7 linked regions of the Xenopus tropicalis genome follow. The protein of the gene in region 1 interacts with the protein of each later gene in a biochemical or structural test. Links are inferred from orthologs where the notes say so. Each region holds a gene or a part of one and is shown in the gene's direction. Other genes may lie near its edges.

Region 1 (4,654 bases):
TTCTTCCTCCAAACACAGCGAGTTGAGTTAATGCCAAAGAGCTCTATTTTGGTCTCATCAGACCACAGCACCTTCTCCTAGTCACTCACAGAATCATTCAGGTGTTCATTGGCAAACTTCAGACGGGCCTGCACATGTGCCTTCTTGAGCAGGGGGACCTTGCGAGCCCTGCAGGATTTTAATCCATTGCGGTGTAATGTGTTTCCAATGGTTTTCTTGGTGACTGTGGTCCCTGCTAATTTGAGGTCATTAACTAACTCCTCCCGTGTAGTTCTAGGATGCTTTTTCACCTTTCTCAGAATCATTGACACCCCACGAGGCGAGATCTTGCATGGAGCCCCAGAGTGAGGTCGATTTATGGTCATTTTGTGCTCCTTCCATTTTCGAACAATCGCACCAACAGTTGTCACCTTCTCTCCCAGCTTCTTGCTAATGGTTTTGTAGCCCATTCCAGCCTTGTGCAGGTCTACAATTTTGTCTCTGACATCCTTGGACAGCTCTTTGGTCTTTCCCATGTTGGAGAGTTTGGAGTCTGCTTGATTGATTGATTCTGTGGACAGGTGTCTTTTATACAAGTGACTAGTTAAGACAGGTGTCCTTAATGAGGTTGACTAATTGAGTAGAAGTGTCTAACCACTCTGTGGGAGCCAGAACTCTTAATGGTTGGTAGGGGTTCAAAAACTTATTTCACTCAATGAAAATTCAAATGCAAATCAGTTGCTATCTTTTATTTAAAGTTATTTTTTCGATTTTCCTTTTGATGTGCTATCTGCCACTGTTAAAATAAACCTACCATTGAAATGATACTCTTCTGAGACTTTTCATTTCTTTGTCATTGGACAAACTTACAAAATCAGTGAGGGGTCAAATAATTATTTCCTCCTCTGTATATCAAGATCTAAGACAGTCCCTGCAAATTGTGATCAGTTGCTATTTCTGCAATAATCACCTATTGCAACTGATGAGATTACCAAGTGTTCAAATATGCAGATGGTTTGGCAGAACCCATTCTTTAAAAAGAACTACTATCTCTGAAATTTACATTATGGTCACTTTCCAGTTTTAACAGCCTGGGGTATTACCACAATCATTTCAGAAGACAAATATTTATTAAACTGATAATAAATGTGACTTATTATGGTGCATGTTATTCATACAACCCAGGCACATGTGCCATATCTTTCTCTGACTATATTTCTGCAATACAATTTCCAAGCAGTTTTCAGTTGCAGACTATATAAAACAGGAATGTTTAAACAGTGTGCCTACTGGTGGTGCTGAACCATACTTGTAGCATCTCCAGTAAGAGACTTTATTCGCTATAAAGAATACTCTACAGAACCATCAACTTTCACCGAAGCTACCCTCCCAGGAAAGCCGAGCTCAAACACCACGTGATATGATGCAACGCTTCTCCTCAGGAACTTTGAGTTGTCACTTATGGAAGCGACCATTCGTACGGATGACAGGGGTGATCGTCAGCAATAAATCACACTGCCCCACGTCCAAGAAAACGGCATGCCGCGTCACAATAAAAAACAAATGTTCCTATTAAACTCCGCAGTGAATCTCGGGGCAACATTTTGCAAAAATGGCAGCTTAGCACGGAATCTCCCTCTCCGGTGTAGTTGGTACGGTCCTATGAAACGTTCTGGTCCAGCCCCATGTTGGGAGCACTGAGCAACGTCATTGCGGCTTGTTTGTGCCAGGGTTGCTGAGTTAGCGGCGGCCGGGTTTGGGCTCCCTCCCTTCCCCCTCCGTACTGCTTCTATTCAGGGGCAATGTCCACCCCGGCCAGGAGGAGGCTGATGAGGGACTTCAAGAGGTGAGTAGGGCTGTTACAGGCTCCTTCCCTCATCGGCTTCACTGCGAGTTCCGTTCGACTCCGCCACCAAGTCACACGACTAGTGTATAAGGCAGGGGCAGGCAACCTTCGGCGCTTCTGCTCTTGTGGGACTACACCTCTCGCCTTCTGCCCGCTTGGCATGCTGGAAGTTGTAGTTTTGCAGCATATGGGGGGTTACCTGAGGCCTCCTGGGCGTTCAGTGGATCAGTACCCGTAAAGGGAAGATGTTAGGGACACTGAAAATCACAAAACCCCACTTCTTGCTGGCTATAAGCACTAGGCCAGTTCATCTCCTTAAATATCTATAGAGAACAGTATGGAAGATCTCTTTGCAGCATAGAGCAGTTGGCCAATGAGTTATAGTAGACCCCACAATTATATTTCACTTTTGCTAGGTTTTATTTTTTATCTGTAAAGTTTATTTTTGTATTTTTTATGGCTGTTATAGTGGGCAGTGTGTGCTAGTGCAGCCGGCCCCTCTATCCCCATGCTGCCATGTGCTTATCTGTATTGTTTTGTAAGATATATCCTCACCCACATCCAAAAATACATACAGGGATGGGACCTGTTAATCGCAAAGCTCAGGAGCTGGAGTTTTCAGAATAAGGGATCTTTCCGTAGTTTAGATCTCCATATCCTAAGTCTACTAGAAAATCATTTAACCATTAAATAAACCCAATAGCATTATTTTGCCTCCAATAAGGATTAATTATACCTTAGGCTCAAGTACAAGGTACTGTTTGGCCACCTTTTACACCCTCAGCCAAAGATATGAACTGCCAGCAATGTGGTTGAAAGGTTTTCTGGCAGTTAGTGAAATGCTGGTCATCATTAGCTTTAGCCTTATCTGCCCCATTTCTGCTGCTGGTACAGTCCTGCAGTTGCCTTCCAGCTCTTTAAAAGGCTTTACACATAAACACATTTTCCCAGAATTCCAATTTTGCTTTATCTTGCATGCTTGGCCGCACATAAAAATCTATTTGGTCTGCATTGTGAATACTGAATCAGCTTTTTTGACCAATACATTTACATTGGATTATTGATCAACACTGTATGTATATTTATATAGAACTACTTAATGTACAGAGTGCTGTTCAATACTGGGCAAATTTGCACCTGGGCAAATTTGCACCTGGGCAGAAACCTATAGCAACCAGCCAGTGATTTGTTTTTATTCACCAGGTTGAAAAAAAAAAAGAGAGAAAATGTTGATTAGTTGCTGTTGGTTACTGCACATGTACAGAATTGCCTGGTGTTTATAAATGGGCCCCACTGATCAGTTATTTATTTTTTGCATTATGTTTTTTTATGTTTTTAATTACTTAATTGGATTTTTAGTCCTGCATTGTTGTCCACAGCTTTGTTTTTGGCAGTTGTGCAATGTGATTAGTAGATAAGGTATTCTGAACATTGACTACACTTCACAATCACTTGTTTTATTGGTTTTGGTGATTTGATGACATATTGATGTCTGCTAGAAATACAAAAGCAAAAAGTATCCAGTCCATCCATTTATTGTAACGTACATTATTGCACAGATAAATATAATCTTTAGCTGGGCAAACATCTTTGTATTGTTAACATTGTTTTTTTTAGGTCAGTTTATTGCATCATAAAGCAAGAATGTCAGGGAACCTCATTCCACTTGGGTCCTTAACGCTCAGCACTTAATCTTGAGTATCACTTTGTGCTTTGTATTTATTCGTTTTTATTTTTGGATTAACTCCTATTAGTGTATTGTTCTCCTGTTAGTGATGCATACACAAGTAGCACCTTATTAATAAAATATACAGACAGCATCCATACCGGTTTTGTAGCAGCCACACAGTGAAGCTCTTAAAGTCTTATGTCATTTCAGAACTCGGCTTCTGTTTTGGCTTCCCTTCAATTTTGTTTAAGCGGAAGGGTTTTTTTTTTCTATTTGTATTCCTCCTACTATAGGTTTTGGTGATTAAAAATGCCCTGGTGAGAACTGTCCCAGATGTGACACCCACCCAGTTGACTTCTTCCATATAACATGTGTTTGCCCCCTCATCCAGCAAATCTGCTCAAATGTAATACAATAAATGCAAAACAAACCTGGAATTCCGATTCTTACCTAGAGCCACAACTTTACTACTGAAGCAGATAGAAGAAATGGCGCTAGAAGTTAGGCGCTATATATATATATATATATATATATATATATATATAAAGCAAGACAGTGAGCTGCACACACCAGGACTTGGCAAAAAAAATGATAAGTTTATTTAAGCAAAGAAAGGATTTCTTTGCTTAAATTAACTTATCATTTTTTTGCCAAGACAGGTATCGGACCCCTTATCCGGAAACCCGTTATCCAGAAAGCTCCAAATTACGGAAAGCCCGTCTCCCATAGACTCCATTTTAATCAAATAATTCAGAATTTTAAAACTAATTTCCTTTTTCTCTGTAATAATAAAACAGTACCTTGTAATTTATCCCCACTAAGATATAATCAATCCTTATTAGATGCAAAACAATCCTATTGGGTTTAATTAATGTTTTATTGATTTTTTAGCAGACTTAAGGTATGGAGATCCAAATTACGGAAAGACCCCTTATCCGGAATACCCTTGGTCCCGAGCATTCTGGATAACAGGTCCTATACCTGTGTGTGTGTGTGTGTATATATACCCACTTGATAAGAAAACTTGATTTTTCAGAATGTCTATTGTTGTAAATGGCATAGTGTGCACCAAAATGAGACTCATAGCATTGCATACAATGTAACTCGAGTTTTTGCTGAATAATGTTTCTTGTACCTCTAAATGGCACATAACTATAGGA
Region 2 (4,210 bases), on another chromosome or scaffold:
CTCTATGGCACCCATCTGTGCGTCTTGCTCTGCAGGATAACCCCGGGGTGGTGACCTGTTTGGATGAGGCTCGGCACGGCTTTGAGACTGGCGACTTTGTCACGTTTACTGAGGTGCGCGGCATGACGGAGCTGAACGGCTGCGAGCCGGTGGAGATCAAGGTTCTGGGTGAGTCTTGGCGGTACCGACCCGCATATTGGCACAACCTTCCCCCCCACCCCTTTTAACCCCGTGCCCCTGCCCGCAGGCCCCTACACCTTCAGTATATGTGACACCAGCCGCTTCTCCGACTACGTCCGCGGGGGCATCGTCGCTCAGGTCAAGATGCCCAAGAAGATCAGCTTTGTGAGTAACTGCCAGTTGTGCTGCTTCATGTCGTGCCAGTCTGTGCTGTGCACCCCTATAACCGGGCATTGCTTGCCCCCCAGAAACCCCTGCGGGAATCGCTGCAGGAGCCAGACTTCCTGGTCACGGATTTCGCCAAGTTCGATCACCCCGCGCAGTTGCACCTCGGCTTCCAGGGGCTTCATGAGTTCCGCAAGAAACACGGGCACCTCCCTAAGGCCCACAATGAGGTGAGGTGGGTTTATATCTGCCCCGGCGCCAGGTATACCCAGAAACAGCTGTGTGCCTGGCAGTGTGTGCCACCCCGTGCCCGCTCTCACCACTCTCTCCCCCCTGCAGGCTGATGCCCAGGAGGTGCTGGCACTCACACAGACCCTTAATGAGGGTGCCCCTGGCGCTGTGAAGCAGGAGGAGGTGAAGGAAAGCCTCATCAAGCAGCTGGCATACCAGGCCCGGGGCAACCTTGCGCCCATCAATGCCTTTATTGGGGGTCTGGCTGCCCAGGAAGCAATGAAGGTAAATCTTCCCTATTGTGTATGTGAGGGGTAAGGGGGGGGGGACGGGTGTGGCCCCTCTGACTCTCCTTCCCGCGCAGGCCTGCTCTGGCAAGTTCATGCCCATCATGCAGTGGTTGTACTTCGATGCCCTGGAGTGCCTGCCTGAGGAGAATGCCGATGCCACCCTAACGGAGGAGAACTGCAGCCCAGTAAGTCTGACTTGGTACAGTTAAGCCCCTCCTCCCGCCTTACCTGCCCCTTACCCTCTCACCTTTGTGCTTTTCTCTCTGCAGAAGAACAGCCGCTACGATGGGCAGATTGCGGTGTTTGGCTCCACCTTCCAGGAGCAGCTGGGCAAGCAGAAATATTTCCTGGTATGTCCGGTGGTGGGCAAGGCAGGGGGCAGTGCCCGGGGGGGGTGGGTATAGCTGCCAGTGTACTGATATGCACATATATGGCCTTCTCTGCAGGTTGGTGCCGGCGCCATTGGCTGTGAGCTGCTAAAGAACTTTGCTATGATTGGCTTGGCAGCAGGAGAAGGCGGGGAAATCACTGTGACGGACATGGACACTATAGAGAAATCCAACCTGAATCGCCAGTTCCTGTTTAGGCCTTGGGATGTCACGGTGAGCGGGGGCTGTCTCTCCTGTGTGCCGGGGCACTGACGCCGGGCGCTGACTGTCTCTGACTGTCTCTCTGCCCTCATTGCAGAAAATGAAATCGGAGACGGCGGCAGCAGCCGTGAAGCAGATGAATCCCAACCTGCGTGTTACTGCGCACCAGAACCGCGTGGGCACCGAGACCGAGAAGGTGTATGACGACGACTTCTTCGAAGCTCTGGATGGTGTGGCCAATGCGCTAGATAATATTGATGCCAGTGAGTAGGGCCTGAGGCCCAATAGCGCCACCCGGGGGGGGGGGGTGTAATGGGGTACTGTTCTGTGGGAGGGGTTCTTGGGGGAGGGAGGCGGGGATAGAGATGGGGGTACTTGGGGGTGGGAGATAGGGATGGGGGTACTTGGGGGTGGGAGATAGGGATGGGGGTACTTGGGGGAGGGAGGCAGGGATGGGGGTACTTGGGGGAGGGAGGCAGGGATGGGGGTACTTGGGGGAGGGAGGCAGGCAGGGATGGGGGTACTTGGGGGAGGGAGGCAGGGATGGAGATGGGTGTACTTGGGGGAGGGAGATAGGGATGGGGGTACTTGGGGGAGGGAGGCAGGGATGGGGGTACTTGGGGGAGGGAGGCAGGGATGGGGGTACTTGGGGAGGGAGGCAGGGATGGGGGTACTTGGGGGAGGGAGGCAGGGATGGGGGTACTTGGGGGAGGGAGGCAGGGATGGAGATGGGGGTACTTGGGGGAGGGAGGCAGGGATGGAGATGGGGGTACTTGGGGGAGGGAGGCAGGGATGGGGGTACTTGGGGGAGGGAGGCAGGGATGGGGGTACTTGGGGGGAGGGAGGCAGGGATGGGGGTGTGGAGTACTGGGGGGAGGGAGGCAGGGATGGGGGTGTGGGGTACTGGGGGGGGAGGGAGGTAGTCGGGGATATTTGATGTAAGTGCACATGAAGGAAACCAACTTCCTGACAGTTGTAGTTGGAAGTTGTTGGTATGGGGGGGGGGGGTCCTCTGTTTTGGGGTTGCCTTCCTGGCCAGTCACCCAGCTCTGTACCCCCAGGGATGTATATGGACCGGCGCTGTGTGTATTACCGGAAGCCTCTCCTGGAGTCGGGCACACTGGGCACAAAGGGGAACGTTCAGGTGGTCATCCCCTTCCTGACCGAGTCCTACAGCTCCAGCCAGGACCCCCCTGAGAAATCCATCCCCATCTGTACCCTGAAAAACTTCCCCAATGCCATCGAGCACACGTTGCAGGTGAGGGGGGGGGGGGGGCAGGGTGCCAGGGTGCTGCCCCATGGGTGAGGCCATTGTGCCCTGATGGGGGGGGCAGGGTGCCAGGGTGCGCCCCATGGGCGAGGCCATTGTGCCCTGATGTGGGGGGGGGGCAGGGTGCTGCCCCATGGGTGAGGCCATTGTGCCCTGATGGGGGTGCCAGGGTGCTGCCCCATGGGTGAAGCCATTGTGCCCTGATGGGGGGGCAGGGTGCTGCCCCATGGGTGAGGCCATTGTGCCCTGATGGGGGAGGCAGGGTGCCAGGGTGCTGCCCCATGGGCGAGGCCATTGTGCCCTGATGGGGGGGGCAGGGTGCTGCCCCATGGGTGAGGCCATTGTGCCCTGATGGGGGGCTGGGAGCCATAACTAACTTGCCCCATTTCTGTGCTTGCAGTGGGCCCGGGATGAGTTTGAGGGGCTCTTCAAACAACCGGCTGAAAACGTCAACCAGTATTTAACGTGAGTAACGTGGGGGGGGGAATGGGCAGCTGATATTGCCCCACGGGCCCCCTGGGGTCTGAGCTCTTCCTCTGCTGTCTCTCTCCCCCCACCTCTCACTGACTTGTCTGTCTCTCTCCCCCCTCCTCTCGCTGTCTCTCTTCTCCCCCCGCCTCTGGCTGTCTCTCCTCTCCCCCCGCCTCTGGCTGTCTCTCCTCTCCCCCCGCCTCTGGCTGTCTCTCCTCTCCCCCCGCCTCTGGCTGTCTCTCCTCTCCCCCCGCCTCTGGCTGTCTCTCCTCTCCCCCCGCCTCTGGCTGTCTCTCCTCTCCCCCCGCCTCTGGCTGTCTCTCCTCTCCCCCCGCCTCTGGCTGTCTCTCCTCTCCCCCCGCCTCTGGCTGTCTCTCCTCTCCCCCCGCCTCTGGCTGTCTCTCCTCTCCCCCCGCCTCTGGCTGTCTCTCACGCCGCCTGTCTCCGTTCGCCCTCAGAGACCCCAAGTTCATGGAGCGCACGCTGAAGCTGCCGGGGTCGCAGCCGCTGGAGGTGGTGGAGGCGGTGTATAAGAGCCTGGTGACGGAGCGGCCCAAGAGCTGGGCAGACTGTGTGACGTGGGCCTGTAAGCACTGGCACATTCAGTACTCCAACAATATCCGACAGTTACTGCACAACTTCCCTCCCGATCAGGTGAGCTGCCCGGGGGGGGCAAAGGGAATTCTGGGAGGGGCCCGGCCTGCAAAGCCTCCCTGCTCCAGTCTGGGTAGAAGAGCTGGCCGGGGAGGGGGTCTGTTTCCTCTATAGTTACACCACCGACCCTGACCATAGAGTGCAACCCCCTCGCCCATCATCTTACCTACCTGCCCCCTCCCCCCTCATCTTTCTACATAATCTTGTGTTTTCCACCAGCTGACCTCTGCGGGGGTTCCCTTCTGGTCCGGTCCCAAGAGATGTCCCCACCCACTGACATTTAGCGGAAGCACTGTGAGTATGCAGCCATGGCGATCCCACCCTTTGAAGCCCTTCCTACTTAGCCGCACCCTTTCTGC
Region 3 (3,144 bases), on another chromosome or scaffold:
TTTTGCAGTATATTTAAACTAAACGCACTACTGGCTTGGCTAGCCCAAAATGTTACAAATTTAAATGGAAACCATGATTGTTTCTTTGCTTACAGGTACCAGTTCCTGACTTAGGTTAAACTAAATCTTCCCCAATCTATGGAGGAGCTCATGTCAGGGGCAGTATCTCCCAAGCGAGCGGATCTTCTCCCGATATCCCCACCTACAGGCGGGCGATATTGGGTGATTTCAGGCTAATTCCGACCGAATTAGAACTGCAGTATATAGTCTGTTCAGGGGCCATATGAACGAGCTGATGTCGCCAATCTGACTAAATTTGTTAACCTGTCGATCAGTATCTGCCCGATTCCAGGACAGATGTCAGTCGGGCAGGCCCATCATTTGTGTCCATACACGGGCCGATAAGCTGCCGAATCGGTCCAAGGGACAGATATCGGCAGCTAGAATCTACCTGTGTATGGCCACCTTTAGACGGCACAGGGCTAGATGTTGTTCACACCTTTCATATAAATAAGCTCGGTAAAGTTCAGACTATTGGCCGTATGCTCCATGGCAAATAAACCATACTAATAACTTCTTTGTGCACTAACCTGTATCAATTGGTAAAACATTTAAAATTTTTCTTTGTAGTTGCTGTACTCTCCTATTGAAAACATCCAAAGAGTGGCAGCAGGTGTACTTTGTGAACTGGCACAAGACAAAGAGGCTGCTGAAGCTATTGAAGCTGAAGGTGCAACTGCTCCTCTTACTGAACTGCTTCACTCTAGAAATGAAGGAGTTGGTAAGTTTTTGTAGTATGCTGTACCTTTAAGAACCCTAGCCCTTTTTTTTTTTTTTTAAAGTGTTTGTTTTTGCATTTTTCAACTTAACATAAGTACAAAAAGGACAATAAACCCTAGCTTTTATTAACGTGAAGTCTACCTTTTTTTTTTTTTTTTCAGTAAACTGACTTATGCAAAACACATTTGCCTATTCAAGGAAAAGTAACACTAAAAATTCAAGTTATTGCCCTATCCTGCAAACCACTTATTATTTTGAATGCTTTATTAGAAAATACGTGCTAAAACTGGGCTTCCAGTCATTTGAAGTAAGGCAATATGGCGAAGGAAGGAGCAGCGTCCACTTTGCGACAATCGATTGAGCCTAGCCTTCCTTCTGTATAGGAAGGAGTCGGGCTTGGCTCGATAGATTGTCGCAAAGTGGATGCTGATCCTTCCTTCGCTTTATCGCCTTACTTCAAATGACCTAAAGCTGTTTAATCGGGTATTTTCTAATAAAGAATTCAAAATACTAAGTGGTTTGCATGATAGGGCAATTATTGGGGCAGGGTAGAATAGAATTTTTTTACTTAAAAAATGTTAGCGTTACTTTTCCTTTAATACAAATGTACTTTGCACTAAAATTGCAGAATAAGTGACTACAGTCACTGCCAAATATTTAGTAACTACTAGTCCACAGATAAGCCCACTCTCAAACACAATGAAGAATGTAAAATGTGTCTTAAGAATTTAGAAAAAGTACACATTGTACAGAAGTGCCAAATTTGATATTGTGTAACCTTGAGACCCCAGATTGTTGTGCTTAAAATCCCAGCATCTTCCAACATTGAATCAAAGTTCAAGGTATGCATATTGGGCTCAAGCTTAAACATTTTGTAAGACTTGTCCCTCACTAGAGAGGATTATACAACTAATCATCGGATTCTGCCTTCTCAAAAGCTTGAGGGGTCTGGTGTTGTAGAGCCTATAAATATTAACAATCTTTCCTTTGCTTTCTAGCAACTTATGCAGCTGCTGTTCTGTTCCGTATGTCTGAGGACAAACCCCAGGACTACAAGAAGCGTCTCTCAGTGGAGTTAACAAGCTCACTCTTCAGAACAGAGCCAATGCCATGGAATGAGGTCAGAACCAACTACTTAGCACTTATAAACATTAATGTTTCATACATTTAAATCTTCTACTCTAATGTCACAGAAGGCTCCCATGAAAAGTGGCTTCAGTTTAGATGTCCCATGTCCTGATTTCTGCATGATTTTAGCTCTTACTCTAGGGCCAACAGTTGCAATGCCACTTTCAAAATGTCACTAAAGCTGCATTTAATTGCAGTTACTTGCAGGTGTATTTGCTCTGTTGCAAATTGCTGCATTTTCATGTACACAAATTGTATAAGAATACAAAATTATCTAGAGTATCGGTAGTGTGTATACATATATTTTTGTGTAATAATAAAGTAAATACTTTTTCAGGCTGCAGACCTTGGTCTTGATATCGGTGCCCAAGGTGAACCTCTTGGCTACAGACAGGATGGTAAGTTGTGTTTTGGTGAAAAAAAGGCCCATTTATAACTAGAGCCTAAATTGTAGACCTGAAGTAAATGGCTGCCAAAGTCTTTGTAGTTTTAATGAAATGTTAAAGGGAACAATTTTTTTCAGACAGCTGCTTTAATACATTAACATGTTACATATACACAAACTATTCAATATACCGTTTTCAATAGTCATGCCAGCACTTTATAACTGTGTACCTGGGTAAAGCAAGTATATCTTGGTTAACACATTGACAGGCTTTGGATGTGACCTAACTGCTTTTTAATTCTGATCTAGATCCAAGCTACAGATCTTTCCATGCCCCTGGCTATGGCCAGGATGCAATGGGTATGGACTCAATGATGGATCATGACATGGCAGGTCATCACCCAGGTGCAGACTATCCAGTTGATGGACTTCCTGATTTGAGTCATGCCCAAGATCTTATGGATGGCCTGCCTCCAGGTGATAGCAACCAACTGGCCTGGTTTGACACTGACTTGTAAATATCTACTTTTTGGTAAGTCTTCATGTAAGCAGATCTCTTTACTTTAATGTTACTCCTGTTTTATGCATATTTTTAATATAAAAGTTAAATCTTAACCCCCACAAATTGTCTGTATGTATATCTTTATAAAGTGCTACTTATGTACACAGTGCTGTACAGTAGAATACATTAATACAAACGGGGTTATTAAGGTAATAGATAGATACAAGATACAGTTGCAATAAGAGTCAGTACAGTTGCATAAGATGGAGGTCCCTGCCCCATAGAGCTTACAATCTAGATGGGAGGATAACTTACCAACGCAAATAGGGAAACATAAGTGCTGTAGGTT
Region 4 (4,210 bases), on another chromosome or scaffold:
CACAGGAGCGATGGAATTTGGTTTGTAAATTCAGCAAGGAGCGTGGGTTTTGAGCCTGAGTACACAGTGAAAGGGTTAATGCACAAACAAAATGTATTTGTTGAAAACAAAACATAAGAAGTGGCATATGTAACAGTTCGGGCATGTCCACTTTATCAGAATTAGCCTCCAAATGTTTCTTGTAGACACATAATAGTTCAATTCAGATCTATTCTTAGGTTGGCTTGCAATCAGCCCACTGATTTTTAATAAAGTTCAAATCTGGGGATTGTGAAGAACTTCAAAACAAGGCAGCCACTAAATCATATTATCATAGCCTAAAGTTTTTAAAATTACACTAGTTTCATGTCCTTGTGACCAGTTTATAAAAAGTTTTGAACTTTGAACTACTGGTCTCTCGCAAGAAAACTTGCAGATTTTGTTGTGAAGGGATAATGCCTTGGGTATTAAAATGTTAATTTTAAAGGATGTAAAATTGATAGCAAAAGTATGAATTTTGCATAAATGTAAAGAAATTGATGAAAATAAGAGTATAGTGTAAGATTCTGACTATATAAATAAATATGTAATAATAATATATTAATCACCCCTCTTACTAGGGTTACGCTTCTTTTGAGAAGCAGACAAATAATCCACACCAATAAGTGTATATAAAATGAATTTATTGAATAACAAATCAATTGACTGTTAAAATTAAGTGATTATTTAAAACAAAACAATATATTTACATTAGTTACAGATTAATAATGAAGTCTACCTTATTATAGCTACCCACAAACACAGAACATGATGGTCTGGTTCCTTTTCTCTAGCCAGTTGATCATGGCTTCCCTCTGGTCTGCAGCCCTCACATTCTGCCCTGATCACTTCAGATGCTGTGTGTAGATGCTCTCCCCAGTTGCTTCTCTTTGACTACTGTCCAGTCCACATTACTCAGTGTATAACACATAAATATTTATAAAGCCACAAACACATATGTATAGAAGAGGCATTCCAAATATAGAGGAGAGCACCATAAAGCAGAATTCTGCTAAAATGCTATTTATTTCAGACCAAAAAACACAACATGTTTCGGGCAGTGTGACGCCCTTTATCAAGTGTGTCACACTGCCCGAAACATGTTGTGTTTTTTTGTCTGAAATAAATAGCATTTTAGCAGAATTCTGCTTTATGGTGCTCTCCTCTATATTTGGATTGTATTGAATGGCTCAGCGGTGTGCCTTGCGAGGATTGATGCATCAAGCCTGATCTAAGGGCTGTGCGGTTGAATACCTATTTGTTGATGTATAGAAGAGGCATGTTGAAATGGCCACATTTTCATTTTTTCTGCTTATGCCCTAAATTTCTTTTATTTTTCATTCATTTAAAATCTTTTATTGCAGTTTGATGAAAATATTGGCATTTTTTTGGGTCGTTATGACTTGGATCAAGACTTGGGGGAGTTTCTGACAGAACGCAAAGCATTGGTTCTGCCAGAGCCAGAGCCAGATTCTGACAGCAATCCAGAACGCAAAGAAAATGAAAGGGGTAAGCAGTAGGGAGGGATAGTGGTGAACAAGAACACCATTTATTTTCTCAAAAAGATGATGTTTATAACAATAAATATCCACTAAGTAAATCAGTTTTCAGTGGAAATAAAAAACTGAGGAAACTTTTTAGATTTTGTAACATAAAATGGGTTTTTATTTCTTTTGTATTGAACCTTTAAACTAAAATCCAAACAATCTCTGACTGGTTAACTCATTGTAGGCGAAGGACTATGGGAAGCTCCTCTTTCCTTTTTGGCCACTCTGGCCAGCAGCAGCAGTGAAGAAATTGAATCTCAGCTACAAGAACGTGTAGAATCTTCACGACGTGCAGTCTCTCGTATTGTTTTGGTGTATGACCGACTGCATGACCAACTGGACCATCTTGCCAAGAAACTGAATAGCACTGGTGGGAAGCAGTCTTTCAATTTTATGATTTTTGTTCCATTTTATTCTTTTTGAGTTTTATTTTTCTTGGGCTTTAATTTTGTTATTACCACACTGAAGAACTTTTACATCTCTATTCCTGTATCTTCCGACTCTCTCTATAGATCCATCTCACGTGGAAGAGGCTGTCAGGGATTTAAACTCCTTGCTCTCAAATGAGAATGCACGATTGCAGGAGATTTGTAACTTGCTACAAGAGAAACAGCAGAATATGTCCCAAGAGGTCAGTGGGTTTTTTTGTAACCGGTTAATGAAAATAATGTTAAATATATAAGTTTTTGTTTATACAATGTTAAATATAGACATTTTTTGTAATTTTGAGAAAACATGTCATACATTTTAATAATATGTTTTGCACATAAGTAGATAACTAACTGGAGAGTCTATTAGGTTTGATGTTTCTGTAGACTTAAGGTATGGAGACCTAAATTACAGAAAGGTATGGTTTTCACAAGTCCTGGGAGTGCGATTCTGTTTCTACATACATATATATACATATATATATATATATATATATATATATATATATATATATATATATATATCTTTCAAGAAGCCGGCACTCACGTTTAAAGGTCACTGGATGCCCGGGTGCAGTATTATAAATTCCAGATGTATACCAAGCAAAAGATACCGCACTCACAGGACTTACTTGAGAAAAAGGTGATTTAATATTCACAACATAGCACGGACGTTTCGGCTGTCTCTTTGAAAAAGGCTGTGGAGACAGCCGAAACGTCAGTGCTATGTTGTGAATATTAAATCACCTTTTTCTCAAGTAAGTCCTGTGAGTGCGGTATCTTTTGCTTGGTATATATATATCAAAATGTCAACATTTCATTCTTCTTGTGAGCCCCAAGACACACAAACAGAATTTACCCCTCCACCCAAACTTAAATACCCTAGTGTAGAGAAATCGTGCCAGAATAGCATGTGTGAAATAATCAGAGTGAATGCAGTCTGTATCCAACATTTAGAAGTGAACAACATTGTATACTCAATTTTTTGAGGAGTGCCACATCCTCCCCCATTATTGTAACTTGGTCAGGGAACCTAAGTCTGTCAGACCCTCTCAGAACTACTTCCACCCGGAGCACACTCATAAAAACTAAGGTGTGTTGTCATGGAAGCGCACGTATGTTAAGCCGGCATTCACATAGCAGTGCAGGAAGGATTGTTGAAGTGTGTTGTCATAGAGAATATTTCACAATCCTTACAAATTGTAAATAATGTTCAAAAGTTGATGTGGTGTTCAAATCTGTAAGCCCTGGAGCCCAATGCATAGTAACAACATCGAACTGTTACAGATGGCACTCAAAATTCAGCAATTGCGCTAAATAACTTTTTTGTTTATCGAGATCTCTGCACACAACATTTCGGGGGATGCCCCTCCTTCCTCAGAAATGCATACCTGCTTTTGTGATTAGCACTACCCTCTGCAACAGTAGCAGTACAAAGCTGCAAGTACTTAAGCAGTAAGAAAGCGGGGGCATAGCAAGTAGCAACCAAATGGGTCTATTGGTTGGCACGGTCAGGTTCACCGGACCCGGCACTAGTACTACCCAGTTATATGATTGGCACAAACAGATCATTAGATTCTGACACAATTAGATGTCATGTAACATCAGGAGAACATATCTGGGGTAAATCTGTTGCAGCCACTAAAGGTAGATGGTAGTAGTGAGTTCATGTGCATCTGAGCAGCTATATGTGGACAATGACATTATTATGGTCCCCTGTCTGGACTTAAGTAATCATATAGCTGAGAGCACAATATTGACACAATTATATTGCCAGAGAGTCAAGTTTATATGTCCATTTGCGTTCTTTCTGAAGTTGAAAGACAAAAAGGGCTAGAAAAGGAAGGCAGACAACCAATTGCAAAGTTAGTAGAATAGGACAGTCTATAACATACCAAAAGTTAACTCCAAGGTAAACCATCCCTTTAAAAAACTCAGTAGGGGGTGCTGTCTGGTCAGAATTTAAGGCTTTCCCGCAGATATTAATCCAAGATTGTGAGGAATCACAATATATAAACTTTTAAATTCTAGTTTAGTTGAAAACGCGAGATAATGCAGAGTCTCGTATTTTTCTGTGTAAATGGGCTACATGTGCCTACACCCGAGCGTGTATCATTCATTCGGGTGCAGGCACATGTAGGAGGCATAGGGCTGAATTTTCAGAAAGCCCTTTTTCGCTTGCCGAAAATAATCCGCCCTACACCTTGTCTGGCATTA
Region 5 (4,210 bases), on another chromosome or scaffold:
ATGAAGCAGGCTTTATAAATATTGACTTGTCTTTCAATTTGTACCCTGGCTAAAAGGACTAAAGTGCTCTGTTTAATTTCACACTGTTCTAGGCTAATTATTAGATGAATGATACTTTTCTTTCTCTGTGCAGACACAAGATGGTAACGTGATAGCCTAAAAATCCAGACATACATAATTAGGCAGCAAACACAAACTTAGCAAAAAAACTGAGTATTTAGACAGATTTTCACGAGGTCATAAGTGATATTTTCTTTGCTATATTGCTCAAAATGTTATATTCAATATTTTTTAGCCCCCATACTTGCTCCTTTAATTATTGTTACATTACTATTAATATTTCCAGCATTTATAAAAGTACACCTTATAAAATTTGTATGGATTATGGTGGTGATTCCTTTCATCCTTCTTGTCAGTCTGCTTAATTCTGTTAAGGGTTTAAAATTCTGAAGTGGTGTTCAGTGAGTTTCAGAGAACATGTTCTGTTATAAAAGGGCTATGGTACTGGGACGATTTTGAAAAATAACTCCAGTTTAAAAATATGGAGCTGTATGGAAACTGGATATGTTTAGCAAATAGAAACTATAGAATAGAATATAAAGTAATTTAAAAAAGATTTAGTGAAAAATACATTCAATTTTTAATGATATTTTCCCTTTAAATAACACGTTTTCTTTCTTTTCCCTGCAGAATTCAGACTTTCGTTTGAAGGATGAACTTCTGGCCCAAACCAAAATAGTATTCCCTTTGATTATCCGGTATATAGTAGACATGTTAATCTGGGAAGAACAAAAGAGTTTGCCAGCATATCTGGATACAGGGTATGTCTCTTTAGGCCAATGACACATGAGGAGATTTGTGGCCGTGCCATAAATCTCCTCTGGTGTTGGCAACTAACCAACTTGAATGCTTTTCTACTGGTGAGGATGTAAATTGTTGGTAAAAAAAAACATGTTTGTCAATTCAGCTTTCCAAAGTTTCCTTACAAGGCAACTTCAGAAAACCGACCCATATGCTTTTACATTCTCACCAGTAGGAAGGCATTCAACAAGATTAGTCGCCACAATTAGAGGGGATTAATCATGGGCCGACTAATCTCCTCAAGTGTCATCGACCTTATACCTCATATTTACAGTTAAACTTGAATTTGTTTGTCTTTAAATTAGCACTAGACAAAAGGATCTCAAGTAATGTTTTCAGTAGAGCATCTAGAGCCACTTTATTTGCCCAAGTGCAGAGACATGGAGCAGATTTTGGCGCCGAAACACATTTCAGTGCCAAAACCAGCTTTGTGTGTTGCAACCAGCCTGATGTAGTGGCTCCAGGTGCAGACACACAACCAAGCAGATGCCTGTTGATCAGCTGATCCTCAGCCTGCGCTTATATGCAGGCTGAAAATAAGCCCTGTCTGGCTTTAGCCTTAAAATGAAAACATCTCAACTGTAATTTCAATTAGGGTGTATGCTAATAAATGTAATTTCTTTGGATTACTGCTAATGTTTTTGGTATTGTCACTGGTGTTTTCGATAACTTTGTGCTGTTAATGTTGTGACCGTTAATAAAACAGCATCCTGTCCTTGCAGGACAGTGGAGTGGAACCAGTACTACTGTGTACTTTACAATGATGAACACCACACCTATGATCACTTCATCTACAGTTTGCAGAGATCGCTTGGTTGTGATCAGAAAGAAGCACAGACATTAACCAGTGCAGCTGAGAGAGAGGTCAGTTATACCAAAGGGAATAATAACTTTTACATTGTAATAGTTAAGCCAGGTTTATTGCCTTAGAACTATAGAACATAGGAATTGGTAATGACTGCATGGGTCCAGTTGGACAGACCCATCTTCGGACCCAAAACCTGACCCAAACCCACTGACCTACTATGCTCCATCCTCACTGCCCACTGCCTGACCCTACTTGTAAGGTGTTAAATTTTAACAGGACCCGAATCTGTGAAATCAAAAGTAATGTCACTGCAGTAGAGCATCAATCAGGTCAGGAAAAAAATTTAACCTGTACCTTGAGGAGGTGGGGGATGGAGAGCCTCTAATTTACTTGGGTACCCAAACAGGGTTCACATGGAACAACTGCTTGGTCATGGAATCAGGGAGTTTCCACCCAGGGACATGATTAATATTTAGAAATACATTACAAAACATTGTAGACAGATAGTGGCGGATGTTTTTCCTACAGAAATGATCGTCACCCATTTAAATTAGTGGATAATTTAAATTACTGTATAGTTTATATATGCGAGTATATAGATAAGTCTGTATAAGTGTGTATATATATGGGCACTGTGGCTCATTTGAAAGGATTAAAGTTAATGTTTAAAGATGTTTAAACACTATTGTAGGATAGCCACCTAACATTTATTTTCTGTCTTCATTTGGATTCCATGCCTGTGTAAAAGTCTAGTGGGCTATTAGAGAATAGCTTATTACTTTGAATGAAACTGTCCTTTTTTAATGCTCTTTCCCCTATAGGGCCGCAAAGCTGTTAAAAAGGGTACTTTAGAGCAATGCCAGGAGGTGACAGAAAGTCTAAAGGTAAGTCTGTATTGTTGTGATAATTGTGGCCCATGAACTATTCCCTCTGATTCCCCATGTAGCCAATGAAAGGGACGAACAGAGATAGCAGACAAAAAATACCACATGTGACATAGCCCTAATCTAGTGTGCCGTCAGTCTTAGAGCTGCTCTGAGTACCATTAACAGGGAAGTGGTGTTTGACAGCAGGCAGAAAGGGCTTCTGTAATGCTTCATTGGTGATTCTTACTTCCCCTGAGGGCCCAGTACACAGGCCCTTAAGCTGCCAACTGTGTCTGGAGAGGGTAGGTCAAGAGGTTTAATCTGCACATTTATGGCAGCATAAGTAACACTAAACTTTAAAACATGTCTAGTGTTTTTGTAAACAACCCCCCCCCCCACCTTAGGCAAACAGCCAGGTAGGGAAATGTTTGCCCCTGGAGTCCCAGCAGAACAACAGCAGACACCCAAAAATTTGACATGTGTACACTAACATATTTTACACACTCATTTTTTGTCATAAAAAGTAAAGTGGTTTTTGTTGTTCAGTTGCAATTTTGGTATTGTTCAATATAATGCTTATTTCTGTGTGTGATACTTCAGTGGCATTTTGGTTAGCTTAGTAATAGTCATGTAAAGAGACATGGGCCTTTTCAAATCAGTAGCATTTTCCTGAATATTTTCAGGGCTCTCTGAGGTGAAAAATACTGAACAAATGATTAAAACATCATTAGATTTATCATTATCCCCCTACCCCTGTTTTTTCTGGTAGGCTAATTCAGAGAACGTGTCGCTGAAACCTGTCCACGTGGAGGTGCTGCATGGTCATGTAATGGCCCATCAAAGCTTTGCACTGTGTTTAGCAATCTGGCTTAACAAACTCCTGGCCTACTCTAGTAAGTATCTCTTAATGTTCTTGTTGTGAAAAATGTCTTTCCCCATGTGTGGTATCTTCACTCAAGATCGAGTGCACTGAGCAACTTATTTTAGATGCCATTAAAAACAAAGCTGCTTTCTGTCAGTGATAGCTACTCTACCAGGAAGGAGTGTAGTTGGAAAGTTCTTCCCCTAATTGTTAAAATTGAAATCCTGTTATGGCTGAAAATCTGTTTATGTAACTATATGTCCAGAGGATGTGGCATTTTCTCTAACATTGTGCCTTCTACTGGTTTCATTTTTAAATTTTAGTCTGAGCATCACTACTGAAAATACATTTGCTGTTAACTAACTTCATTTTTGGTCAGTACAATATTCTTTTTATATAATATAAAATATCCAATATTTTCTGTATTTATCGTTGTACAAACAAATTTGCAATGTTCACATGCAAGTGAAGCATAATAGTGAGTAAAATATTTAACTTTAGTTGTTTCTATCTTCTAAAACTAAAGAAATATAAAGGGTAGTGACGGATGGGGAAATTTTGTTGCCCGCGCTTAGGCCCTTACCCAACTGGGTGGATTAGGCCGAGAATCCTGTACTGTATATATAGTGTATTAAATGTTATATAAATATTGTAAACATTGCTGTTCCTTCTAGTCTAGTGTATATGTATGTACCTTTATATACATTGTCATTTGAGGTTCAAAAATGAATCATTTCTTTTCAGGTGACTTCCGACAGATCTTCTGTCAAGTGTGCCTAGAGCAAGAGCCAAAGCCTAGCAGTTTTAATCACA
Region 6 (4,210 bases), on another chromosome or scaffold:
TAACCGTTTGGTCTTGTTGTACCCCTTTACTAAAAGTTCTGCGTTAAATAATGGCACAATATAAATAATAATAATAAACTCTACCTTATAAATCCACATTCTGGGTTTCTAAGGTAGCAATTTTTAGGTTGGAGAGAAGCATAGTAGTCAGATGGATCATTTAAATAAAGGCAGAGACCACTCTGTGCTTGGAGGACATTGCTTATGTTGTATCCACCCTATCAGATGCAGTCAGTTCTTGTTTTTGTTTCAGAGCGAGGAGCTGTCTGTACAAAAGAAACTGCGCACTGAAGTGATCCAGTTGGAGGATACGCTCGCCCAGGTGCGCAAAGAATATGAAATGCTGAGGATAGAGTTTGAGCAGAACCTGGCAGCCAATGAGCAAGCAGGTAAGAGCAAAGCGTGTCATGTAGCGGAACATGATGGTAACCACAGGACACAGCACATGGCCCCAATGTTTGCTCACATTCGGTATCCTTGCCTTTATCAGGTCCTATTAATAGGGAGATGCGGCATCTCATTGGAAGCCTCCAAAACCACAACCACCAACTGAAGGGAGATGTGCAAAGATACAAGCGCAAGGTGCGAGATTCCCAGGCAGAGGTGAGCAAGGTGAGAGGGGCTTCCCCAGAGTGACCTATTGCAGCTGGCATGAATGGAAACTGCCCGGGGCCTAGAACCTGTTCCGCTGTTTGATACTGGAATGGGCACGTGCTGAAAAAATGGCTATAAAGCAACAGTTTTATTTCAAGGGTTTGTCTAGGGAACCAAGATCAGCTTGAGAGCTGAACATTCCACAGATATAAGTTTGCGTTTTCAGATCATGGGAAAGTGAGTCCCTGACTGTATTATTACAGCAACCTTTCTTCTTTTATACTTTGTAACTGATGATTTGCCCCTCTTATGGTTCCCGCTTTATCGCCCCTTGCTTTCCCAGCTGCGTTTTCAAATCGGCGGACCACCCTGTCCTCAGCCTGGATCTTCAGGATCGGAACCAACGACCCCCGTTACTGTCAAAGAGGAAGAAGTAGAAGTGAAGAAAGAACCCCTTGCAGTCGTGCCACGAGAGCCTGAGACTCCCACTACCCCTGAAGTAAAAAAGGAGGAGGAAGAGCAAAAGAAAGAGGCAGCAGAGCGGACCAAAGCCCGGGAGAGGGAGGCGGAACGGGAGCGAGACAAAGATCGGGAAAGAGACAAGGAAAAGGAAAGGGAGCGTGAGAAAGACAAGCAGAAAACAGATGAGAGCAAAAGGAAAGACTGCGACATTCTGAAACAGCTCCGGGCAGAGCTCAAGTAAGAGAACTTTTCCTTCCCAGTTATTGCACATTGCCGATTCCCCCCGCCAACTGCTGCCTGCTTTCCATTCAGTCCTTCCCATTGGATTATTCACATAATCAGTTGTCTGCTTCCCTGCTTCTGTTTATAAACTGTTGCAATCCAACCAGCCAAATTTATCAACCCTTTACATTTAACACACTGCCTCCCACCCCATTCACATGACTGTTCATGTTCCTTTTCAGGAAGGCCCAGGAGAGCCAGAAAGAGATGAAGCTGCTGCTCGATATGTACAAATCTGCCCCCAAAGAGCAGAGAGACAAGGTGCAGCTGATGGCAGCGGAGAGAAAGACCAAGGCCGAGGTGCGTCTCTCTGACCTACAAATACATGCGTGGCTGATGGTTGCACTGTTGGTTATCTACGTGTTTCTGATTGGTGCAGGTTCTTGCATTCTGATTGTGTACATGTATTATAGAAGGGATTATATCATGCACTCTGTGCCTGTTTCTGCCTTTCTATTGCAGATGGAGGAGCAGCGCACGCGGGTGCAAGCTCTTGAGGAGAAAGACAAGAGGGAGAGGAAGAAACTTGCAGATGAAGAAGCACTGAGGAAAATTAAGATGGCTGAGGAACAAATAGACCATTTACAGAGGAAACTGACTGCCACCAAACAGGTAAGAGACAAAGGGGCTGTTTAGGAAATACAGACAACTTAGCAGACTCAGGAACACTGGGGGTAAAAGGCTGCTCCCACTAGGAGTAAAGACACATAGTAATTGTGTCACAATTTAACTCTGCTTTGCTATTTTAATGTGTTTCATACAGCAAGGAAGTGTAAGGATAAGCACAAGGGATACTTCCAGGCAGCCACGGACAACAGGGCCAAGACCTAAGTCTGCCCACCTTGGGGCTCATTTATCAGTACTGGGTAAATTTGCCTATGGACTTTAACCCATAGGGACATTTATGTGAATGACTTTTTTTTTAGCCAGCTACAGAAAAAACAATAAATACAACAGTTTGGTTGCCATGGGTTACTGCCCACAGGCAGATTTGCCTATCGTTGATGAATGAGCCCCTTTGTGTTAGTCCCACAGTGCTGGATTCCTGCTCCTAAGCGCCAAAGGGCTCTTGATGCTGTCTAAACAGAGCAATTAACTCCACCCTGGCCCTGTTCCCTATGTCATTTGGCCTATGGAATTCCTGGTAGAAATAAATATTAACCCTGCCTATTTCATTTCTAAACGCAGGAGGAGGAGGCCTTACTGTCAGAGATGGACGTGACGGGCCAGGCGTTTGAGGACATGCAAGAACAGAATATTCGTCTGATGCAGCAGCTCCGTGAGAAGGACGACGCCAACTTCAAACTGATGTCCGAGAGGATCAAATCCAACCAGATACACAAACTCCTGAGGGAAGAGAAGGAGGAGCTGGCTGAGCAAGTGCAAGGGCTGAAAGCCCAGGTAGGTACTTGCTACATGCAAAATGGGTCAAGAAAGGAACCAATACTTTCTGTATTTGGGTTTTGCTGTCAGTGGGGGTCTGTGGTACTTTTCCCATTTCTTTGTTCTCTATGGGTCATTTAAAGTGGGTTAATGGATCTTTGGCCACTAGAGGGAGCCTTTTGCCATACTGTTCACTTTACATCGCTACTGCTTGGTGCCAAAAGGTGTGTGTTATTATTATTATGTAACACTGTTGCTGTGTGTGTCTCAGGTGGATGCTCAGCTGTTACAGGTACAGAAACTGGAGGAGAGAGAGCGCCTCTTACACACGTCTTTGACTTCCATTGAGAAGGAAGTCACTCTTAGAACACAGTCACTGGAACTGAACAAGAGGAAGGTAAGCGACCTGAATTATAATTTATAATTATGCTCATTGCTGATGCTTCTGATTCCTCTGCTAAACAAGAGCTCATCGTATTGCGCCATTATAACTATATACATTTATGTTGCTTTCTAGGCAGTCGAGGCAGCCCAGCTCGCCGAAGACCTGAAAGTGCAAATGGAGCATGTAGGGGAAACGCTTAGGGATACCCAGAACTTTGTATGTGAGAACCGAAGCGCTAAAGAAAAGGAGTCCTTTAGTCTCAAAAGAGCTCAGGTAAGAAGCTTGACCCACAGAGAGTGCCTTATTATCCGGCCCATTGGGTGTGTTTCACTTATTCAGGGGTTTGTGCCTTTACAGGAGGATGTATCTCGGCTGCGAAGGAAACTGGAAAAGCAGAAGAAGATGGAGGTTTATGCAGATGCTGACCAAATCCTACAGGAAGAGATTAAAGAGTACAGGGTAAGTAAGGGGCAGTGGGTCGGGCAGGGCACTTAAGACTATTTATTAGTTGCTTTGAGAACATCAAGTTGGAATAAAATCCGCAAAGAGCGAATGGCCCTGGGTTTGTAATGGCTCCGGGTCAGCTCTACAGACAGGAAGAGGCTATAGCAATAATGTGGTGGTTAGAAAGAAATGCTTTGCAATGTGTTCTGGGTACTGACACTTTCTCCTTCTCTCCCTTCCTCTGTACTTCCCACCCCTTCGGCACTTCCAGGCCCGACTCACTTGCCCTTGCTGTAACACTCGGAAAAAGGACGCCGTCCTCACCAAGTGCTTTCACGTCTTCTGCTTCGAGTGCGTGAAGACCCGATACGAGTCCCGGCAGCGCAAGTGCCCCAAGTGCAACGCAGCCTTCGGAGCCCACGACTTTCACCGGATTTACATCAATTAAGGGGCGACGCGGTAGGCTCTGCGATTAACATTGGCACAAGGTGCATCCGTTTGGACCGTAATGTGATGGAAGTCCGTGATTGGTTACCCAAACAAACTGATGCCCCAGTATCTGGCAATCCCACCAATGGCTGGGATGTACTCCTCAGTCACCCTCATTTTAAGGGGTTGGACAAGGATCCCCATGAATGGGGAGAGGGGGAGAAGTGGGCA
Region 7 (4,995 bases), about 96 Mb from region 1:
TCCTCGCAGAGCAATCGTTTGGTTGTGCCCCCCACTACTACTGCTGTTTCCCGCCTTAAACTTTTCGGCCTTGCTGCCCCTTACATTTGGAATGCCCTCCCTGATTTCCTCCAGAGAAAATCCTCCCTCAGTCTTTTTAAAACTAAACTTAAAGACTACCTCTTGGAGCACTCACCCAGCACCTGATCTTATAGTTATCATATCCGTGTTCAGTCCTGCTTCAACAGTGTAATCAATACCAACTTGGCCTGCCTCTCCTTTTAACTAAAGGTGGCCATACACATACCAATATTATCATATGAAACTTTGTTTCTCATGATATTCGGTGTTTGTATTGAAGGAGACGAGGTGACTGATATTGCCAAAGGCCTTGAATATCGGCCATCTCATCAATCAAGCGGGATAGAAAATTTTGATCTGGCACGTTTGAAGGTGCCTGAGAAAAGGCAATTATTAAGCTCTGAATCATCAGATAGGGGTAGAATTATTTTATTTCTAACTACATATCTGACAATTCAGCTCTGAATGATAGAGGAGGGTATGACCAATGGTTGCAGGAAAGATTATAATTGTAATGTGTATGGCCACCATAAGACTTTCCCTTAACCAGATTAGTTAGAATGGGTTTACAACAGCAATGATCAACAGCAGTCTGTAGGATGCTGCATAAGGATGAGTGAAGCCTCAAAATGTAATTTACAAAGAATATGTTACGAATCCAAACAAATTGCTCCAAAAAGTCTGTGTCTGATTTAATACAAGACCTATATTCGTTCTGGTGACAGTCACAATATATTGGCTGTGCCTTGATCTTGCAGATGGTGCAATTTTTTGATCTTGTGGATGGTAGTACTCACAGAGCCTCAGGGGATTTTACTTAACCCTGAGTCCATTTGAGCTTCAACACTGGCTGTTCTGGGGCAGTAGAGCTTTTGTTTTTTGGCCTACAAACAAGGCTGGAACACTTAGGGGCTAATTCATTAAACCATGATTTTTGGGTGGTTAAAATCATGATTGGAAAAAATTCGGAGTAACCACAAAAATTCTTTTCTCGTACGAAAATATCGTGGTTGCGTTCCGAATTTTCGGATCTGAACGTTCGTAAACAGTGTGAAAACCTTTCTGGCTTTCATAGTCTTCCATAGGACTCAATGGCACAGATCCAACCTGGCCAAAAGATAGTAAGATAGTTTACCAAATTGAATTCCGAAATGGTTGTAGTCTTTCCAACTTTTTGGTAGAAGTTAACGAAAACCATGAAAAAGTCATGGAATTTTAACAAAATTATTGTGGACATTGTGAAAAGTTCTACAAATTAGAAAGAATAAGATTTTTTCTCAAAAACAAAAAGATTGTGGTTTAATGAATGGGCCCTATAATTTTGCAAGTATTCTGGCCTTCGCAGCATGCATTCCTATATTTATATCTCCACCATTAATTACATTGGCATCAAGCATTATTTTTACAGGCCAGGGCAGTAAAATTTTGGGCTCAGGTGGCAGCCCTGGGGTAGGGAGTAAAGGTGGTAGAGAGTGATTGGAGGTGTAATGGGGCATGATAGTAAAAAATGTAAAACATAGAACTAATATGTCTGCGGTTTAATATATAAAAAAATTAATGACCCCATCCTTTCTGCATTTTCAGGGCCCCAGTAACTAAATGTCCTTTGGGTCTGTTGTCACTGACCAGAACTAGTATAGCTAATCCAACAAATTACAGTTATTTATATTTATTTTTCATATTTATTAGGTGTAGAGTTCATAATGGGGCACAAGCAAAGCTTATATAACGGAGACCATGGTGTTTCAGTGACAGGGACTGACTGCACAAGGAAAGATATGAGGGGGCGGGTCATAATTTTGGCGCCTTACATTCGTATAGTGACATCACCACTATAATATAAGCGGCGGAAGGCCGGCTGGCGGGCTCATTTTGGCGCCGGAGCTTCAGTTGGGAGGAGGTACCACAGAGGTACTAGGGAATTCAGCTACTGAGCTCCGCCATCTGCACCCCCGGCACACTTCTCTCTTTCCCCCAGCTCCGTACAGCCGTCACCATGTTTGAAGCTCGCTTGGTGCAGGGTTCCATCCTGAAGAAAGTGCTGGAGGCCCTGAAGGACCTGATCGATGAGGCGTGCTGGGACATCACATCGAGCGGCATCAGCTTGCAGAGCATGGACTCCTCGCACGTCTCGTTGGTGCAGCTCACTCTGCGATCGGACGGCTTTGACACCTACAGGTGCGATCGCAATCAATCCATCGGCGTCAAGATGAGCAGGTAAGGAAGCTATGTGGGCGCTTAGTAAGTGCGCAGCACTGCGGAGATCACTAGTTGAAGGGACGGGCTAGTGCGGCAGGCTTAATGCGTCCAGACTTTACTATTGGGTACACGTAGCGCGATACACGCTCTCATTTTATTGTATTTGGCGCAAATATGTATTCCATACATACATATTCCCCCCCCCCTCTGTCATGGACTTGGCCGATCTACTCCCCCCCCCCCCGCCTCTGTCATGGACTTGTCCGTTCAAGTCTCAGTGATTGCGCGCGCAACCTGGCTTCCCGCGTGACGTCACATACGCGCCAACTTCAACAAAGCCGCCGGCTTGGCGGGAAACCGGCTCATTGTGCCAAGCTTCAGCAGTGCGGCCACTCTAATCCAAATGCCACAGGATAGTTGGAAAATAAGAATTTTATCAATGAACCGAAATAAAATTATTTTCCTTAGTGTTGCCTCACTTTGTCTAACACTTCCCCTACACTTCACTGAGGCCCACAGCTGCTCAGTGTCTTTTCTTTAATGGGCCCTCATGGGTTCTATGTATATCTTTATAAAGCGCTACTTATGTACTCAGCGCTGTACAGTAAAATACATTAATACAAATGGGGTTAAGATAATAGATACATACAAAGTATAACAATAAATACAAGATACAGCTGCAATAAGTTAAGAGTCAAAGAGACAAGAGAATGGAGGTCCCTGCCCCATATAGCTTACAATCTATATAAAAAGGTAAAAGGAATACGCTGCTGTATGCATCTGGAGTGTTGGAAAGCTCCTTCAATGGGGATTTTTTTGTGCCGCCTTGCTTAGACAGGGCCCCTGGTTTACTCGGATTGTAAGCTCTACGGGGCAGGGACCTCCTTCCTATATATATATATATATATCTTGTCCTCCCTGTGTGTAAGCTGCGTACCCTTGTGGTGCTTTATAAATAAAGTTATACATACATACATTGGAGTAAAATGCCCAGGTTGCTTACCAAGATGTCTACCTTTGCCAGTCTCCTGTTTGGCATTATATATAACTATATATCTATCTTTACTTTTTTTCACAGTATGTCTAAGATCTTGAAGTGTGCTGCAAGTGAAGATATCATTACTCTGAGGGCAGAAGACAATGCTGATACAGTTACAATGGTGTTTGAGTCGCCAAGTGAGTATTTGCAACATTACACTTTGGTTTTCATACCCTTCATGCCAATAAGTAAATTCTTTATTATAGTAGCTTGGTGCTTATTTCATTGGCTTGGAAGGCAGGGCTAAAACAGTTATAGGTAATGGAACTTTTTAATGGATTTTTATAACTATAGTATCTTGATTAATTTGTGCTAAAATAGAAACAAGAAATGCTTGAATTACTGATTATACTGTACCAGCCTTCAAAGTTGTACAAAGCAGGTAGCCATCTTGGCTCTTTTTGTGGCCTTGTAAAATTTCCTTCTGACATCAAACCATGTTAAATTCTGATCCAGAAGGCACTGGTCACTACTGATAATAAATTAAATTAAATTAGGCTTATGTTTTAAATTAGTGTGCATATACTGTATATTTGTGCAGTTTAGAAGTGAAGTTTAGGGGTTGTTGTAAATCATTAAAAAAAAAAAAAAACTAGGTTTCTGTCATAGCTATTACAGGGCATTATTAAATTCTAATGCTAATTGCACTGGTTTTTAAGGTGCCAGTGATAAGAATCTGAAATACTATTCAGCCTTATCTTGTGACGTTTATATTCCATATATGTACAGTATATTGTCGGTCCCTAAGCACAGAGCATGGGCAGTGAATCAGCAGAAAAGATGTGGAAGCTATTTGAGGGCACATATCTTCCCTGCTAAAGGGCCGTGTTTGCCTTGGGCTGGTACAGAACCTCAAACAGTGAAGCATTTCTGCCCAACGTTTTTGTTCTGCTTAAGTTTAACTTAAATGTTTTTAATTTAGATCAAGAGAAAGTTTCTGACTATGAAATGAAGCTAATGGACCTTGATGTGGAGCAGCTGGGCATTCCTGTAAGTATATTTTTTTAATGTTTAAGTTGTTGCTGATTTTTGTCTGCTTACAAAACAGATTCGCTAGGATCACTGTTCAAAACGTAACTGGACACTTTTTGATTGTCTATTAGTTATTGCAAAATTTAAACCCAAAGCAGTGTACACTCAGTTTGTACACTTCAGTTGTTTTGGTTTTTATAGTTCCAGTCTTGGGGTTTCACAAAGTTCTAAGGGGGTAATATACATGCTGCTTGTAGAAACTCCCCTTCCTCTGTACCCATGGCAGTTATGTGACCTCTTATGCCAGTCTAAAGTAACCCTGTCTAATGCAGTTAATTTTGGATTGCACTCTGCTAAATTGTCTGGTTTCTCATGACAGGAACAAGAGTACAGCTGTGTAATAAAGATGCCATCTGGTGAATTTGCACGCATCTGCAGAGATCTAAGCCAGATTGGTGACGCAGTTGTTATTTCTTGTGCAAAGGATGGGGTAAAGTTCTCTGCAAGTGGAGAGCTGGGCACTGGAAACGTAAAGCTGTCACAAACTTCAAATGTGGATAAAGAGGAGGAAGCTGTAAGTGTTTCAAAACCTATAGTGTCATTTTGAAATGTAATAGTGCCACTGTATATAGATGTGACAAGGTTCCCCCAGTGTGACCCTTGGTTAATTCCCACGTTGTACACTTTCCTTCAACCCCAAGTAATAGTAGACAAGACCACAGCAA

Evidence for each region.
Region 2: of the proteins of ube2b (region 1) and uba1, one has a biochemical effect on the other in vitro, tested with the Homo sapiens proteins (10 studies listed by BioGRID, with this or other methods). The link is inferred for Xenopus tropicalis from reciprocal best matches to the Homo sapiens genes UBE2B and UBA1.
Region 3: of the proteins of ube2b (region 1) and ctnnb1, one has a biochemical effect on the other in vitro, tested with the Homo sapiens proteins (2 studies listed by BioGRID, with this or other methods). The link is inferred for Xenopus tropicalis from reciprocal best matches to the Homo sapiens genes UBE2B and CTNNB1.
Region 4: the proteins of ube2b (region 1) and rnf20 form a complex in vitro, tested with the Homo sapiens proteins (4 studies listed by BioGRID, with this or other methods). The link is inferred for Xenopus tropicalis from reciprocal best matches to the Homo sapiens genes UBE2B and RNF20.
Region 5: the proteins of ube2b (region 1) and ubr1 form a complex in vitro, tested with the Homo sapiens proteins (2 studies listed by BioGRID and IntAct, with this or other methods). The link is inferred for Xenopus tropicalis from reciprocal best matches to the Homo sapiens genes UBE2B and UBR1.
Region 6: the proteins of ube2b (region 1) and rnf40 form a complex in vitro, tested with the Homo sapiens proteins (3 studies listed by BioGRID). The link is inferred for Xenopus tropicalis from reciprocal best matches to the Homo sapiens genes UBE2B and RNF40.
Region 7: of the proteins of ube2b (region 1) and pcna, one has a biochemical effect on the other in vitro, tested with the Homo sapiens proteins (2 studies listed by BioGRID). The link is inferred for Xenopus tropicalis from reciprocal best matches to the Homo sapiens genes UBE2B and PCNA.

Annotation. Positions count from the first base shown.
Region 1 is NC_030679.2:26,523,291-26,527,944, reverse strand, and holds the start of ube2b (ubiquitin-conjugating enzyme E2 B), read left to right. Parts: upstream 1-1,678; 5' UTR 1,679-1,781; coding exon 1,782-1,825; intron 1,826-4,654. UniProt on the Homo sapiens protein: E2 ubiquitin-conjugating enzyme that accepts ubiquitin from the ubiquitin-activating enzyme E1 and transfers it to a E3 ubiquitin-protein ligase. In vitro catalyzes 'Lys-11'-, as well as 'Lys-48'- and 'Lys-63'-linked polyubiquitination.
Region 2 is NC_030684.2:532,876-537,085, forward strand, and holds part of uba1 (ubiquitin-like modifier-activating enzyme 1), read left to right. Parts: intron 1-35; coding exon 36-168; intron 169-247; coding exon 248-345; intron 346-428; coding exon 429-575; intron 576-684; coding exon 685-861; intron 862-940; coding exon 941-1,051; intron 1,052-1,135; coding exon 1,136-1,216; intron 1,217-1,312; coding exon 1,313-1,468; intron 1,469-1,553; coding exon 1,554-1,719; intron 1,720-2,517; coding exon 2,518-2,714; intron 2,715-3,126; coding exon 3,127-3,191; intron 3,192-3,655; coding exon 3,656-3,851; intron 3,852-4,070; coding exon 4,071-4,145; intron 4,146-4,210. UniProt on the Homo sapiens protein: Catalyzes the first step in ubiquitin conjugation to mark cellular proteins for degradation through the ubiquitin-proteasome system.
Region 3 is NC_030682.2:53,374,502-53,377,645, forward strand, and holds part of ctnnb1 (catenin beta-1), read left to right. Parts: intron 1-630; coding exon 631-781; intron 782-1,778; coding exon 1,779-1,900; intron 1,901-2,245; coding exon 2,246-2,306; intron 2,307-2,602; coding exon 2,603-2,811; 3' UTR 2,812-2,825; intron 2,826-3,144. UniProt on the Homo sapiens protein: Key downstream component of the canonical Wnt signaling pathway.
Region 4 is NC_030683.2:57,237,590-57,241,799, forward strand, and holds part of rnf20 (E3 ubiquitin-protein ligase BRE1A), read left to right. Parts: intron 1-1,382; coding exon 1,383-1,527; intron 1,528-1,749; coding exon 1,750-1,935; intron 1,936-2,077; coding exon 2,078-2,196; intron 2,197-4,210. UniProt on the Homo sapiens protein: Component of the RNF20/40 E3 ubiquitin-protein ligase complex that mediates monoubiquitination of 'Lys-120' of histone H2B (H2BK120ub1).
Region 5 is NC_030684.2:105,763,474-105,767,683, forward strand, and holds part of ubr1 (E3 ubiquitin-protein ligase UBR1), read left to right. Parts: intron 1-690; coding exon 691-821; intron 822-1,583; coding exon 1,584-1,725; intron 1,726-2,490; coding exon 2,491-2,553; intron 2,554-3,304; coding exon 3,305-3,428; intron 3,429-4,141; coding exon 4,142-4,210. UniProt on the Homo sapiens protein: E3 ubiquitin-protein ligase which is a component of the N-end rule pathway. Recognizes and binds proteins bearing specific N-terminal residues that are destabilizing according to the N-end rule, leading to their ubiquitination and subsequent degradation.
Region 6 is NC_030685.2:13,689,556-13,693,765, reverse strand, and holds part of rnf40 (E3 ubiquitin-protein ligase BRE1B), read left to right. Parts: intron 1-253; coding exon 254-389; intron 390-490; coding exon 491-612; intron 613-937; coding exon 938-1,293; intron 1,294-1,520; coding exon 1,521-1,638; intron 1,639-1,800; coding exon 1,801-1,950; intron 1,951-2,526; coding exon 2,527-2,739; intron 2,740-2,992; coding exon 2,993-3,118; intron 3,119-3,238; coding exon 3,239-3,379; intron 3,380-3,463; coding exon 3,464-3,565; intron 3,566-3,821; coding exon 3,822-3,998; 3' UTR 3,999-4,210.
Region 7 is NC_030679.2:123,021,468-123,026,462, forward strand, and holds the start of pcna (proliferating cell nuclear antigen), read left to right. Parts: upstream 1-1,939; 5' UTR 1,940-2,056; coding exon 2,057-2,277; intron 2,278-3,337; coding exon 3,338-3,435; intron 3,436-4,220; coding exon 4,221-4,288; intron 4,289-4,649; coding exon 4,650-4,844; intron 4,845-4,995. UniProt on the Homo sapiens protein: Auxiliary protein of DNA polymerase delta and epsilon, is involved in the control of eukaryotic DNA replication by increasing the polymerase's processibility during elongation of the leading strand.